Linked DNA regions of Xenopus tropicalis. The protein of the gene in region 1 purifies or fractionates together with the protein of each later gene. This does not show direct contact. Links are inferred from orthologs where the notes say so. Each region holds a gene or a part of one and is shown in the gene's direction. Other genes may lie near its edges.

Region 1 (4,579 bases):
ATGTTAACCCTATGGGTCCCTACATTATTAAAATTGAGTCTATGGGACATGGCCTTCTTATAGTTGAAGCTTTCTGGGTAATTGGTTTCTGAATATAGGATCCCATACCTGCAGAGATGTTCCAATTGGTTTCTTTGATGGCTGCATAACAGATGATGATACTGCAGCCAGTGGTGTGTCAACTAGGAAGATTCTGGAAATCTAAGGACTGATTATGAAGTGAATTTTTCATGTTACAACATGGAAGGAGTTAAATAACATTCTACTGATTAATAACTAGGTTACTATTTAAATTTCCCATGTTTCAGCTGTATCCTGGGTGAGCTGTTTACAAAAAAACCAATCTTCCAAGCAAATCAGGAGCTTGCACAGCTTGAACTTATAAGGTGAGTTGTGTAAATGTGCATTTATTTTTATCTACCATTTCTAGACAAAGAATTAAAAAAGGTTTCTTCGTGATCAGCTTAGGATCTATTATCTGGAATGCTTAGGACCTGTATTTAAAAAATAAATGGATTTGATCTAAATAAAATAAGTATTTTTTTTTATTACATTTTCCTGGTGTGCATCAGCATTTTTTACATATTTACACTGTTTATCTGATTTGCACCCAGGTTGTTATCCCTATAAGTGTGTGCCTCAGCCTTTTTCCTTGCATATGCACGGTAGAATAGATTTTGAAAATCTGGTTTACGTACTGTTCATACACAAGTCTAAGGGGAATTTAACTAATTATAGTGCGTAAGCCATATATATATATATATATATATATATATATATATAATATAAAAAACAGTCCACACGACAGCACCACACTCCAAAATCTCCCCTGTGCACGGGATATCATATAAATATCAAAATAAAACAGCCAGCACCAAGGGTCTTTGTGTTTCAAAAAGTCTCTTGTGTATTATAATTGCATGTACAACCGACGTTTCGGTCCCTTTTGGGACCTTTTTCAAATTTTTTTTTTTTTAAATACAGGTCCTAAGCATTCCAGATATATATAATATAATTAATCCTCTGTTGCATAATAACAATACTATTTTTTTTTTTTTTTTCTTAAGCCGAATGTGTGGAAGTCCTTGTCCTGCTGTATGGCCAGATGTTATAAAGTTACCGTATTTCAACACCATGAAACCAAAGAAACAGTATCGTAGAAAACTTAGAGAGGAGTTTGTTTTGTAAGTATTGCTGTACTTTTTTTTTTTTTTTTTTTTTTACATTTAATATTTACTATAATTTTATAATTCTTCCCATATGCCATTCTTTTTGTGATTAATCCTTATCATTGCACAGATAGACTGATTTAACAAATGTAACAACTGATATATACTGTAATTGTAGTATATGAAAAAAATTCTGCTCCTGGGGTTGTTTATTGCATAGTGCAAGAGAAGGCCTGTTCCCAGGATGTAGCATCCAGGAGAATCCTGTGGCTCCTAGCATATCAAACATCTCCAAAGACCTATTTGTATGAAATCATTGGGTGGCTGAATAATTATAAAACACAGTAAATTTTGGACATTGCAGATTTGCAATCAATTGTGTTTTTGCATACCAACTCAAATAGTGGGGGGTAGTAGCGGTCAAGACAAGCCAGTAACAGGCCAGGTAAATAAACACAAACTTGAAAAACATCTCTAAGGGCAATGACAGACAAGCAGATTAGTTGCTCATAGGATCTTGTCAGGAAGTAGAAGGTAGCGTGATTTATTTTTATTTTTTGGAGAGTAGGTTCAATATCACTCATTGTGTTTCCCAGCTTTTGTGGGTAGATTTAAGCAAGGTGAGAGGTATGTCTGCATAGATTTCCTTCTGCAGGGTGCCACATGATCAGCGCGGTCTCAGGGCTTCTTGCTATCCTGAGGTGGCCAAGTAAAAACCACCCCACACACTTCCTTTTTATACATTGTAGAGGCACTCTCCTCTATAACAGACAAAATCCCAATGTAAAAATCGGAATTTCAACTCTTTAAGTTACCAGGAGTGTCTATTGGCTGCCTCTTCTAACTTGCCGAGGGCCTGAGGCAAATTTCTCAACTCACCTTGTGGCAGCAGCACCCCTACGAGAGATGCCTGTTTTCAATGTAATGGCAAATTCTCTAGTTCTATGATGACTTAATTTGATTTGTATTATTTCAAGTAGTATTTTACTGTTCACTTTTAACATGTAGCTGGTTTTTTTTTCTTCCCCAAGCATCCCCAATGCAGCTTTAGATCTTTTTGACCATATGCTGGCTCTAGATCCAAACAAGCGTTGTACAGCAGAGCAAGCCCTACTTTGTGAATTCCTTCGGGATGTAGATCCCTCAAAAATGACACCGCCAGAGTAAGTACTAACGGTTTTCCCATAGTGTGTGCCAGTCTTTTTTGCAGTTGTTTTGCAACTATTGCTCATTCATTAATGTGTTGTACTGGCCATAGCACCCAGAATGCTGGGTTTGTTAGAATATCCATGGTCCATTATTTGTATAGCCTGCATAGCCAAGTAGAACTTTTCTAAAATACTTTTTCTAGTTCAGTGAAAAGGTGAAATTGGCCCCAGGGGGCCTGCTGAAACTTCAGTCTCACCAGTGAAGAAAAAATTGTTTGACACCCAAATGAAATTCTGATAATTCCCAAGCTCAATATTTTTAAAAATCATTATAAATATTTTATTTTCTTAAAAAGTTAGGTGAAATTGGGGGCTAGTGCTTATTTGCTGGTCTGAATTCCCCTGCAGTTATAGAAGAGTGGTTTTAATTTGGCTGTTTATATAGATTTATTCTTGTTAGAAAAAAAAAATGTTTATCAGTAAAATTATTCTAAACAGCCTCCAGAATTACCTACCTTTGTCACTCTGTTCTTTCTGACCTGGTTCCTCAGTTACAAGCTGCTCGATTCCTCTCCTTCCTTGTTCAGAGTGAAGACCCGCCCCCACTTCCTGTTCAGGTCTCTCGTCAAGAAAAAAACCCTGCTAATGCACTGGCTCCTGCTGCCTCCAGGCATGCGCAGAAGGCTCTCCACTTCTACTAGAGGTAGTTGATATAATGGGAGACCTGAACAGGAAGTGGGGGCGGAGCAGCTTGTAACTCAGGAACCAGGTCAGAAAGAACAGAGGCACAAAGTTAGGCAATTTGGGGAAGCTATATAGAGTAATTTTATTAATAGAAAAAAAAAAGTTTACTTATTCTTTAAAGAGATACTGACACGGAATTAAACCTTTTATTACATGTATCATAACATTGTCTTGTATTGCATGCTATGTATAATTCTGCTATAAAAGTATTTGCCTGTTACTTTTGCATTACCTATCGTATCCCCTATATTCCTCTATGAGGGGGCTGCCATATTTGTGCAGCAGGAGTTTGTTAGCATTAGAAGCTGTAACTGACAGATTGGGAAGGGACAGTCAGGTTGGTAAAACAGTCCCGTTTAGAAACTTCAAGTAACAATTATTTACAAATTCATACCTATTAGTAAAAAATGATCAACATGACCTATAGGTAACTTTTAATGTACATTAATAATTTGAAGAGTAGTTTTTTTAGTGTCCGTGTCGGCCTGAAAAGGGATTATACTGCTCCTATCATCTGTAATATTTTTCTCCTTACTTTGCAGCCTACCCCTTTGGCAGGATTGTCATGAGTTGTGGAGTAAAAAACGCAGAAGGCAAAAACAACTTGGGATGGGTGATGATCTCACAGTTCCCAAAGTACCGAGGAAAGATTCATCTTTGGGCATGGATGACAGCAGAAATAGCACCCCACAAGGCATGCAGATATCTTCACAGCTAAAGACTCAGGGATTCCCCAGTGTTGGAGTAGGTAGGTATGCTCTTCTTGGTACAGCGCTAGCTAACATCTACCAGCACCAGAGGCTGGCCATGTTTGATAACACTTATCTGGTTAATGAATGATTTGTTGCCTGCAGTAGCTTAGATTTAACCTCTGATGAGAAATCTTACCCTGTGCCATTGCCATTACTTGTATTAAAAATGTTGTATGTGTTCCTAAAACAGTTTGTAATATTATAGTATGTTTGGTACATTTATTGAACAGGGCAACGCTAAAATAATTTGAACAAATTTGCCTTTTTTTCCCCAACAAAGCATTACCATGCTTTATGACCAATATTTTGCCATTTTTATAACCACAGATCCTAACAATAAATATTAACTAACTTGAGTTTTATGTAGGAAGTTAAAGAGCAAGGAAAGGCTACTACTGTAGCCCTTAATATAGTGTAGAGTCCCCTTGCCCATAGCAAATCGCCAAATTTATTTTTTAAAATAATGGTCACTTCTCCCAAAAATTGGCTCGTTAGCTGTATTTCCAGCCTGTCACGGCCTGCCATCTTGGATTCCCCTGCTGGGCTCGCACCACCCCGCCGAGCGCGCCACGCTTGCGCCAGTGCTTGCCTGCTCCTTCTGTGCTTCTCTGTGTCACTGTGTCTGCGTGTCACAGGGGCCAGGGGAGGGGAGCAGGCCTGCTTCTCGCACTGGCTTCTCTCAATAAAAACAGCAAGGCGCATGGGATATGTGGAATTGCCATACAAATAACTATGATCTTAAACATGTAAACAGAATTTTGTTTTT
Region 2 (5,185 bases), on another chromosome or scaffold:
TGCAGGTTGGGAAGGTTAGGGCCAGCGCAGGAGGTTGTGGGTAAGTGGCGGGCTGAACTGTGTTCACTTACCCATGCTGCCTGCAGCAGCTGCACATTCAGATTCCTCATCCTTCAGTTCCTTCCAGACAGTTATTTATATACTTGCACCTGCCCACCTCCTTCAGTGTTATCAAAATGGGATGGGTCAGATACATTTATATAAGTAATAGCACACTGAGTTGGGTTAGTTTTGAGTTGGGGAAGGACAGATTAGGGTCAGGCACGGGCTGGCTTTTTGTCAACCTGTGCATTACTACTGTAGACATCTAGGCCTAGATTTTAGGACATTTAAAGATTTGCAGACTGACCTGGCTCCCCCTAGGGACCAAGTGCAGAGAATAGGAGATATAATTAGGGAGAGATGTAAGTTTAATTCTTATTTGCAGTACTGTATACTATTAAAATGACAGTTGCATGGCCCTTACAATGCAGCTTTTATATATGTATGATCCAGTTAAAAACTAAGAGAAGGGGCTGACAAAACACTGGATGGCAAACTCTCAGATCAGGTAAACTATTGTTATTCCTTGATGTGGAAAAGATTTTGACAAGACTGGTGTACAGTAGCAGTACATCAGTGGGGTAGTGTGTTTGGGGCCATGTATAGTATTGTAAGATGGAAACCAGACAATGATTCCTTTATTCAGCAAAGTACACTAACAGCACCACCACATGTTGTAGCTCTTTAAACAGAGCATTCATCATTCCTATCACTCCTTCTCCAGTGGGAGCTTGCTACCTTCATTCCCAATCTGTTAAACACTATGGTCAGGTATATACAAAACCAATTAATCTTCTTGCATGTTGGCTGTAGAGTCATTGTCTTTAATTTAACAATATCTGCAAAAATGGCCTGTGTTTTAGTACTATCCCTTGAGCAATGTTCCGTCTAGGCATTTGGGGGGGGGGGGGGCGGTGGACTGTGTACCCTTTTTTATGCAACGTTAGTGGGTCAGAATCTGTACAAAATTACAGAATGGTAGTATGATCTCTGCTGTCTGGCCAGGAACATTGCTCATTTACTGGCATATCAAAAGCATGCCTTCAGTCTCATAGCCCTAAAATATCTTCCAAAAGAGCTGCTGCCGGAAAACAAACCAGCAACTGTACTATCAATAAACTTCTGCTCAGGAAAATAGAGATTGGCACCCAAGGGGGTTGAGCAAATAACATAAAACACATACCTACTAAATTATGTTTGTCTTATCCTGGCAGAAATACAGAGCTGAAAAGAAGAAATTGCTTAACCCCCTAAATATTGCATAATGGCTTTCACTTGGTGACATTTCTTGCTGTACAGCACTGGGCTTGTTTTGCAAAACCTGAATCAAAATGTTTTTTTAATGGTCTTACATGCGTTATCATGGTCTTCTTTAATAAGCTTTACAACTAATAAGATCTAAAACCCCCAAATGGATACAATATACATTAGAGTCTATTTAGAGTATTACATTAACTACCAAGCTATAGCTATGTGCTAAGATGTAGTGCAGCAAACATGTACCTCCCCTAATTCATATGTGCCCAATACTTTTTCCCCATTACAAGCTTTATGTACAGGCAGCCCAGAAAGTGCAAGCTCTTGTGAAACATGTAGTGCCGCACTGCGCAGCAGGCCGACATTGTGGACACTGTATTAAAGAACCAAGAACTTACCTCCCTCCTCCCCTCCCCTCGTCGCCCTGGAAATTACAGTAGTCAAAAACGGCCACGGAGAATCACGAAAAACACACCGACTGCGGCTAAGACATGCAAGATGAGCTTTTCTCAACCTAACCCCAGTACTCCAGGGGTAAGCGTCATTTCCCAGCTAGCCATCAGTGATTGGAAGGCAATCTGGCTTCCTCAAGCTCTTATTGGCCGCTTGTCCTGGCAGTCCCCATGCAGGGCCGCCCCTCATCCAGCACTGAAAGCTAAAGCTTCAACATCGAAGTTTGGTTGCTCCGAGACAAGTGCACAACTCCACCCACCTCCGCTTGACGCTACTAGTCGTAATTGGTTGCTTCAGTTATGTCTCCTTTCTTAGACATTCGGGAGGAGTATGGGCTGCGAGTAGTGACGTGATGCGGCCCATTTACTCCAAGATGGCCGCTGAAAGCTGCTTGTGCTGCTAGCGTCCTGGCTCCCGAGGGGAAGTAGCGTGTAGGCTGGTGCCTGGTAAGTGTGAGGATTGATTGCGGGGTCGGCTGCCATTCCCATTGCTTGAGCGTACAGTTACATACATATGTATATAATATATATAGCAATGATTTATGGGACGATTGCTGATAGGGAAAGGGACGGGGTCTTAGAAGAGTTAAGAGTGTAAGTACAAGGGAAGTTCAGGGCTGTTGGTGAAAGCATGTAGGGTTCATAGGGGTCTATTCATTGTTGCATGAACGGCGATTTTTGTGTTACCAACGCATTGCCTTTGGTTCCTAGGCCTCACTTGGGCCGCAGATTAGAAATAAGTGCCATATTCTGTTCAACCTGTAAGATGAAACTCGGGCCTCATTCCGCTACAGGACCTTCTGTCTGTCTGTCTGTGTTCCACGGGACCTTCTGTCTGTCTGTCTGTCTGTCTGTCTGTGTTCCACGGGACCTTCTGTGTGTCTGTGTGTGTTCCACAGGACCTTCTGTCTGTGTTCCACAGGACCTTGTGTCTGTCTGTGTTCCACAGGACCTTGTGTCTGTCTGTGTTCCACAGGACCTTGTGTCTGTCTGTGTTCCACAGGACCTTGTGTCTGTCTGTGTTCCACAGGACCTTGTGTCTGTCTGTGTTCCACAGGACCTTGTGTCTGTCTGTGTTCCACAGGACCTTGTGTCTGTCTGTGTTCCGCAGGACCTTCTGTCTGTCTGTGTTCCGCAGGACCTTCTGTCTTTCTGTGTTCCGCTGGACCTTCTGTCTTTCTGTCTGTCTTCTGCAGGACTTTCTGTCTGTCTTCCACGGGACCTTCTGTCTGTCTGTCTTCCACGGGACCTTCTGTCTGTCTGTCTTCCACGGGACCTTCTGTCTGTCTGTGTGTGTTCCACAGGACCTTCTGTCTGTGTGTGTGTGTGTGTGTGTGTGTGTTCCACGGGACCTTCTGTCTGTCTGTGTGTGTTCCACAGGACCTTCTGTCTGTGTGTGTGTGTGTGTGTTCCACGGGACCTTCTGTCTGTCTGTCTGTGTTCCGCTGGACCTTCTGTCTTTCTGTCTGTCTTCTGCAGGACTTTCTGTCTGTCTTCCACGGGACCTTCTGTCTGCGTGTCTTCCACGGGACCTTCTGTCTGCGTGTCTTCCACGGGACCTTCTGTCTGCGTGTCTTCCACGGGACCTTCTGTCTGCGTGTCTTCCACGGGACCTTCTGTCTGCGTGTCTTCCACGGGACCTTCTGTCTGCGTGTCTTCCACGGGACCTTCTGTCTGCGTGTCTTCCACGGGACCTTCTGTCTGCGTGTCTTCCACGGGACCTTCTGTCTGCGTGTCTTCCACGGGACCTTCTGTCTGCGTGTCTTCCACGGGACCTTCTGTCTGCGTGTCTTCCACGGGACCTTCTGTCTGCGTGTCTTCCACGGGACCTTCTGTCTGCGTGTCTGTCTGTCTTCCACGGGACCTTGTCTGCCACTTATGGCCTTTTTTTAGTGTGAGCTAAAAGTGTTAGGTTGTGTGGGAACTTTATGCTAAATGCTGTCATGTAAATTCAGATTGTGGTTGTTGGTATAATGTGTGTACATTTTATGTTCAGTGTTACTCAATGAGAAAAGACACAAGTTGGTCCAGGTGAAAAGTGCCCTTATCCTACTGTCAGTGTTTCCTATAGGGTTGTATGGCAAACCTGCAGCCTAAAGCACAAAGTGGTGACATAACTACACCTGCTTAAAAACACCTGTCTAAATGTAACTGGCCATACAGGTTGATAATACTTTTCAAAAAGATAGACAAAGTGCTAGAACTTTGAAAAGAAAACACATCCTAGTACAACTGTTTTTAAAAATGCCTGCTTTGTTATGGAAATTAAAATTAATCACATGATTGGGTGCAGCAGGTGTGGTTCTTTCTCTAGTTTTGCCACCCACGTGAACAATATCTGGAATTGATTTGTGTTATTGGCAGTATTGTAAGCATCTTTGTGTAGAGGGCTACCCATCACCTCCATACATGCTTCAGCTGCTGTTTGCCATAGATTAGTGTGGGTGGCATTGACATGTGTATGGGGCACTGCTTTCTACCTGATTGCAGTGAAGAGAGAATAATAAAGCATTAGGATAACATTTTTTGGGTTGAGATCCCTCTTAAGTAAGATCAGTCAGCAGAGAGTAACATTGCTTGCTATACTATAGGAAGGTCTCTATCTTACAAGAGCAGTAGCAAATTAGATACTCTCTCCCTGTAAAAGGTAATTAAAAATAAAACTGTTTTATTAAAATTGTAATATTGGTGTGCTGATCCTCCTGCTGATATACTGTAAATATATCAACAGTAACTCTGCCGGCACTCATGTTTAACAGATATCCAGTGTGCCTGGGTACAGCCTATGTTGTATAATAATTTAATCAATATAAGGCATAGGTCCATACTTGCTGTCTTAGGAAGCGTGACAACTTTTATTAAGTGCCTTTGTCAAAGTAAAAAAAAAAAGTGTCACTCACCTCCCTTCTTGCCACAGTTTTGTCATGCTTATTAAGACCTTTGAGTGCAGGCCAATGCCGTATATTGATTATATATACATTCATTTCCTGTTGTTACAGGTCATTTAAACACAAAAAGGTTTTTATTTCATATCGCAGACAGAATATTGTGAGCTTGTTTGCTTATGAGTTTATATTTCTTTTCAGATCTAACCTGTGTTTCAAAGGTAAAACTGCATCAATGAAAGAGAATAAGGAGAATTCTAGCCCTTCCACTGCTCCTGCAAGCCTGGACCATGCAAAGCCATGCTGGTATTGGGATAAGAAAGACCTGGCCCATACTCCATCACAGCTGGAGGGGCTTGATCCTGCTACAGAGGCAAGATACCGGAGAGAAGGGGCTCGGTTCATATTTGATGTTGGAACCCGACTAGGGTTGTATCCTTCACTGTAACTTGTCACTTTTCATCTGTATTTTTTTAAAGTATATTTAGAGTAAAATGATATTACATAAGATCTATCAATGACCTGTAAAATATTTACTTCTAAATATTA
Region 3 (5,171 bases), on another chromosome or scaffold:
ATCCCAATAGAAAGTAATGGTACAATCACATACCCTATAGAGCAGGGAGCAGGTTGCAGAACATGCAGGTTGAGTCTGAAAGAGCAAAAAAGAATACAAAATGGAGCCTCTGTCTATACTGCCCAACTGCATGCTGGGTATTGATTGTAGTTTTATATTAATCCTAGCTGTAGGCTAATTGTTAGATACAAACTACATTACCCAGCATGCAGTGGGACAGCCACACTAGAGGGAAAAACTTTGGCTAGTTTCCAAACTACAAACCCGCCAAGGCGCTAAAAAATAGCCCAAATCTGTACCTTGGCTGTACATTGGAACCCCACCTGGGCTTTAAACTAGTAGAAGAGTTATTATAAAATTATGCTTTTTTACACTTTGAAATGGCTTTTACAGATTGTTTAAAGGTTAAATATGCTAATTGCACAATTGTGTGTGCTAATGAAGTGTGAGACTATTTAATCAAGTTCAATGCACTTGTTTTTATGCCTGAAGAAGGCTAATTTGGTCATTTGGCCCTGGGGCCAAACTACGGAATTATAATGACGGGTATAGGCAAGTCATTTTGGGGACTGCATCAACGAGCCGATGCGGTCCCAGATCCGTCAAAATTTTTTAACCTGCCCGATTTCAGGCCAGATGTCGGTCATGCAGGCCCGTCGTTCGTGCCCCTACACGGGCCAATAAGCTGCCGAATCGGTCAAAAGGTGCCCATACACGGGCCGATTGTAGCTGCCAATATCGGTCCCTTGGACTGTTTCGGAAGCTTATTGGCCCGTGTAGGGGCAGGAACGAGGAGCACGCCCGACCGATATCTAGACTCACATTGGCCACATATTGATCGGGCAGGTTAAAAGATTTAGTTGGATCGGGGAACGCATCGGCTCGTTGATGCAGTCCCCGAACCAACTGCCCCATTGCCATTATAATTCGATTGGCCCCAGGGCCAAACGATCAAATTTGCCTACATGTTCCCCGATATCACCCACCCGTAGGATCTTCACGTGTATGGACACCTTAAGGGACCGATATCGGCCGCTAAAATCGGCACGTGTATGGCCACCTTAAAGCACAGATCTGCTTGCCTGGCAATTAGGCACATTTGGTAACTGACCCTCAACCAATACCTAATGGAAACCAATTATATATTGCTTCAAAGTGATTTATATTTACAATTGTAACGACAAGCAGTATTTGTATATCCCTTTCTGTTCTCTGGTTTTGCTACATTGTTTCAGGAGTCAGAACCAGCAGCGCAAACAACAGTAACAGCCAGGCAGACGCTGCTTTGAACAAAAATCACAAAATATCAAAATGATTTATTTTTCTTTTTAATGTATGTATACCAGAAAGCTGCCTAGAATTAAGTTAAAATAAAACAGATTCCGGATGGTGTTCCCCTTTCACAATATAAGCAGTTGTTTCATGTTTTCCTCCCCCTTGGGCCGCCTATAATGTTGATTGTGGAAAAACCCTTCGCATACCATCCTATAAAGCCGTTTCTATCTCCAATTCCCCTCCACAAACCACTCCCTACGGCAGCAAGAACAAACCTGCCTGTCTAGCAAAGGCGGAAGTGACGCAAGGAGAATGGAATAGGCAAAAAAGGAAGTCGGCCCGAAGACTCTAGCGTAAGGGCAAATCAGCCGCGTCGAGGTTAAGGAAGTGATGTCATGGAGTGGGCAGGCTGAGGCAGAGAGTGCAGGAGCTTTCCAGAAGCTTGCGAGGGGGCCTGCAGCTGCACCCTGGTGTGCCAGGTAATGGCTTCTTCCCACAGCTGGCTATTTCTCTTATACCTGCCTGCGGTGCTGCTATATCCTATTTACCTATACGGACAGGCTGTTTGGGCAACAGTTTAAGGCATTAAGCAATACTCCCTGGTATAGTGAGCGCTGTTCTTGCCCGGGTAGCTGTACTACAACTCTCACAATTATTGAACATATACTCCAGACTTAAAGTATACTGGGAGTTGTAGTCTAACAATATCTGGGAGCCAGGCTTTATCATCATTAATGGCTGGGGCACAGTATATTATTTTCATCTACCCCCCCCCCCCCCATATCCCTGCCATGTTTCTGATTCTAGTCCCTGACATGTGGCAAGTAAAGCAGGAGTTGGGGGGTCGCACTGTCACATCTGGGGGGGGGGGGGGGTAACCATCAAATATTACATTACTGTTGTTTTTTTGATTTGCCAGGAAGGATGTAGAGACAAAATTATACCAGGAAATTTACTCACCATAACAGAAAAGTAACTTTATATATCCCCCAGTTAGGGGGGGATTTGGGGTGAGTGCTTATTTGTGCCCTGGGTACCCCTGGAACTATAGCAGGGTGACTGTTACCCCAATGTTTCTATATATCTGTAACCTTGTTATGGGCTAAGGGGGCCCAGCCTGAAGGCCAGTTAGGGGGGGATTTGGGGTGAGTGCTTATTTGTGCCCTGGGTACCCCTGGAACTATAGCAGGGTGACTGTTACCCAATGTTTCTATATATCTGTAACCTTGTTATGGGCTAAGGGGGCCCAGCCTGAAGGCCAGTTAGGGGGGATTTGGGGTGAGTGCTTATTTGTGCCCTGGGTACCCCTGGAACTATAGCAGGGTGACTGTTACCCCAATGTTTCTATATATCTGTAACCTTGTTATGGGCTAAGGGGGCCCAGCCTGAAGGCCAGTTAGGGGGGGATTTGGGGTGAGTGCTTATTTGTGCCCTGGGTACCCCTGGAACTATAGTGGGGTGACTGTTACCCCAATATTTCTATATATCTGTAACCTTGTTATGGGCTAAGGGGGCCCAGCCTGAAGGCCAGTTAGGGGGGGATTTGGGGTGAGTGCTTATTTGTGCCCTGGGTACCCCTGGAACTATAGCAGGGTGACTGTTACCCCAATGTTTCTATATATCTGTAACCTTGTTATGGGCTAAGGGGGCCCAGCCTGAAGGCCAGTTAGGGGGGGATTTGGGGTGAGTGCTTATTTGTGCCCTGGGTACCCCTGGAACTATAGCAGGGTGACTGTTACCCCAATGTTTCTATATATCTGTAACCTTGTTATGGGCTAAGGGGGCCCAGCCTGAAGGCCAGTTAGGGGGGGATTTGGGGTGAGTGCTTATTTGTGCCCTGGGTACCCCTGGAACTATAGCAGGGTGACTGTTACCCCAATGTTTCTATATATCTGTAACCTTGTTATGGCTAAGGGGGCCCAGCCTGAAGGCCAGTTAGGGGGGGATTTGGGTGAGTGCTTATTTGTGCCCTGGGTACCCCTGGAACTATAGCGGGGTGACTGTTACCCCAATGTTTCTATATATCTGTAACCTTGTTATGGGCTAAGGGGGCCCAGCCTGAAGGCCAGTTAGGGGGGGATTTGGGGTGAGTGCTTATTTGTGCCCTGGGTACCCCTGGAACTATAGCAGGGTGACTGTTACCCCAATGTTTCTATATATCTGTAGCCTTGTTATGGGCTAAGGGGGCCCAGCCTGAAGGCCAGTTAGGGGGGGGATTTGGGGTGAGTGCTTATTTGTGCCCTGGGTACCCCTGGAACTATAGCAGGGTGACTGTTACCCCAGTGTTTCTATATATCTGTAACCTTGTTATGGGCTAAGGGGGCCCAGCCTGAAGGCCAGTTAGGGGAGATTTGGGGTGAGTGCTTATTTGTGCCCTGGGTACCCCTGGAACTATAGCAGGGTGACTGTTACCCCAATGTTTCTATATATCTGTAACCTTGTTATGAGCTAAGGGGGCCCAGCCTGAAGTCCAGTTAGGGGGAGCTTGAAGACCTCTGTATTAGCTTTTAGTGGGGGAAATTCAACACAGGACAGATAGTCCTTCAATGCATTTTGTAGAGACAAAAAGATTAGAAAGGCTCCATTACCGTTTGGCCCTAGATTCAGTCCTTGATAGTGATGAGGCAGAAGCAGTTATGACAGTAGGTACTAGTAACTGCTGGAATTGCATTGGCTCTGTCGAGGTATTTTGGAGATAATTATGAACACTTAAGACATAAGAGGATCGTGCTTAGGGCCTTATGGATACATCAGGCTTTCTAGACACACAGGAGCTGCTTCTGTAGCAAGTAGTAATATAGACCTTTTATATGTTTGAATTCTTGTAAACAAGTCTTTCTTTATGCCCTTCATTTCAGTGAATCTCTTGTTTGTCTGATCTCTGCTACACAATGGTGGATTATAGCGTGTGGGACCACATTGAAGTTTCTGATGACGAAGATGACACTCATCCCAACATTGACACTGCCAGTCTTTTCCGATGGCGTCACCAGGTAATGCCACATAGGGGGGAAGATTCTCTCTCCTTTCCTCATTGAAAATGTTTTAAAGGAACAGTAACACCAAAAAATGAAAGTGTAAACTAAAATATAATGTGCTGCTGCCCTGCACTGGTAAAAGTTGTGTGTTTACTTCAGAAAGTCTACTATAATTTCTATAAATAAGCTGCTCTGTAGCCATGGAGGCAGCCGTTCAAAGGAGAAAAGGCACAGGCACATAGCAGATAACAGATAAAACACTATTGTATTCTACAGAACTTATCTGTTATCTGCTATGTAACCTGTGTCTTTTCTCCTTTTTTCCAGCTTGAATGGCTGCCCCCATGGCTACACAGCAGCTTATTATATAAATTATTAGGGCTGGGCGATATACCGCTTAATACCGAATACCGGTGTTTTTTTTTTTAAAACTATATTCATTTTTCAGATACCGCAATACCGGGGTGTCAGGGTACTCACCCGTGTGGGCTGGTCTCGCACGCCTCCTTGCGCACGTACATGTCAAAGCGTGCACGTCCGCGACGCGCTGACAGCACCAGTTCTGTGCATGCGTGGGGGGTATTTAAAGCTATCAAACGCCTCCTCCTGTGCTATGTTGTCTGCGGCCTTGCCTGGGAAACTAAGCCTGCCTGATTTACCTTACGACTTTCTGTTGCCGATCCTTCGCTTGCCTGACTCTGATTTTCGATACTGCAGTAATTATTCTCTAATTTATTAGGAAATGGGGTTAACACCTAATCATGCATGGAAAAAAAAAATACCGTCAAATACCGTGACACCGATATAATTTTGAAAAATACCGTGATATAAATTTTTGGTCATACCGCCCAGCTCTATAAATTATAGTAGTGTTACTGTAGCAAACACACCAGTTTTACCAGTGCAGGGCAACAGTGC

What was found.
Region 2: the proteins of cdk13 (region 1) and ccnk purify together in Homo sapiens (affinity purification with mass spectrometry; 4 studies listed by BioGRID and IntAct, counting the BioPlex papers as one, with this or other methods). This does not show direct contact. The link is inferred for Xenopus tropicalis from reciprocal best matches to the Homo sapiens genes CDK13 and CCNK.
Region 3: the proteins of cdk13 (region 1) and cdc37 purify together in Homo sapiens (affinity purification with mass spectrometry; 3 studies listed by BioGRID and IntAct, with this or other methods). This does not show direct contact. The link is inferred for Xenopus tropicalis from reciprocal best matches to the Homo sapiens genes CDK13 and CDC37.

The regions. Positions count from the first base shown.
Region 1 is NC_030682.2:64,599,640-64,604,218, forward strand, and holds part of cdk13 (cyclin-dependent kinase 13), read left to right. Parts: intron 1-308; coding exon 309-386; intron 387-1,067; coding exon 1,068-1,184; intron 1,185-2,200; coding exon 2,201-2,332; intron 2,333-3,603; coding exon 3,604-3,809; intron 3,810-4,579. UniProt on the Homo sapiens protein: Cyclin-dependent kinase which displays CTD kinase activity and is required for RNA splicing.
Region 2 is NC_030684.2:90,613,135-90,618,319, forward strand, and holds the start of ccnk (cyclin-K), read left to right. Parts: upstream 1-2,127; 5' UTR 2,128-2,198; intron 2,199-4,837; 5' UTR 4,838-4,871; coding exon 4,872-5,068; intron 5,069-5,185. UniProt on the Homo sapiens protein: Regulatory subunit of cyclin-dependent kinases that mediates activation of target kinases.
Region 3 is NC_030679.2:137,666,493-137,671,663, reverse strand, and holds the start of cdc37 (hsp90 co-chaperone Cdc37), read left to right. Parts: upstream 1-1,732; 5' UTR 1,733-1,754; intron 1,755-4,133; 5' UTR 4,134-4,166; coding exon 4,167-4,268; intron 4,269-5,171. UniProt on the Homo sapiens protein: Co-chaperone that binds to numerous kinases and promotes their interaction with the Hsp90 complex, resulting in stabilization and promotion of their activity. Inhibits HSP90AA1 ATPase activity.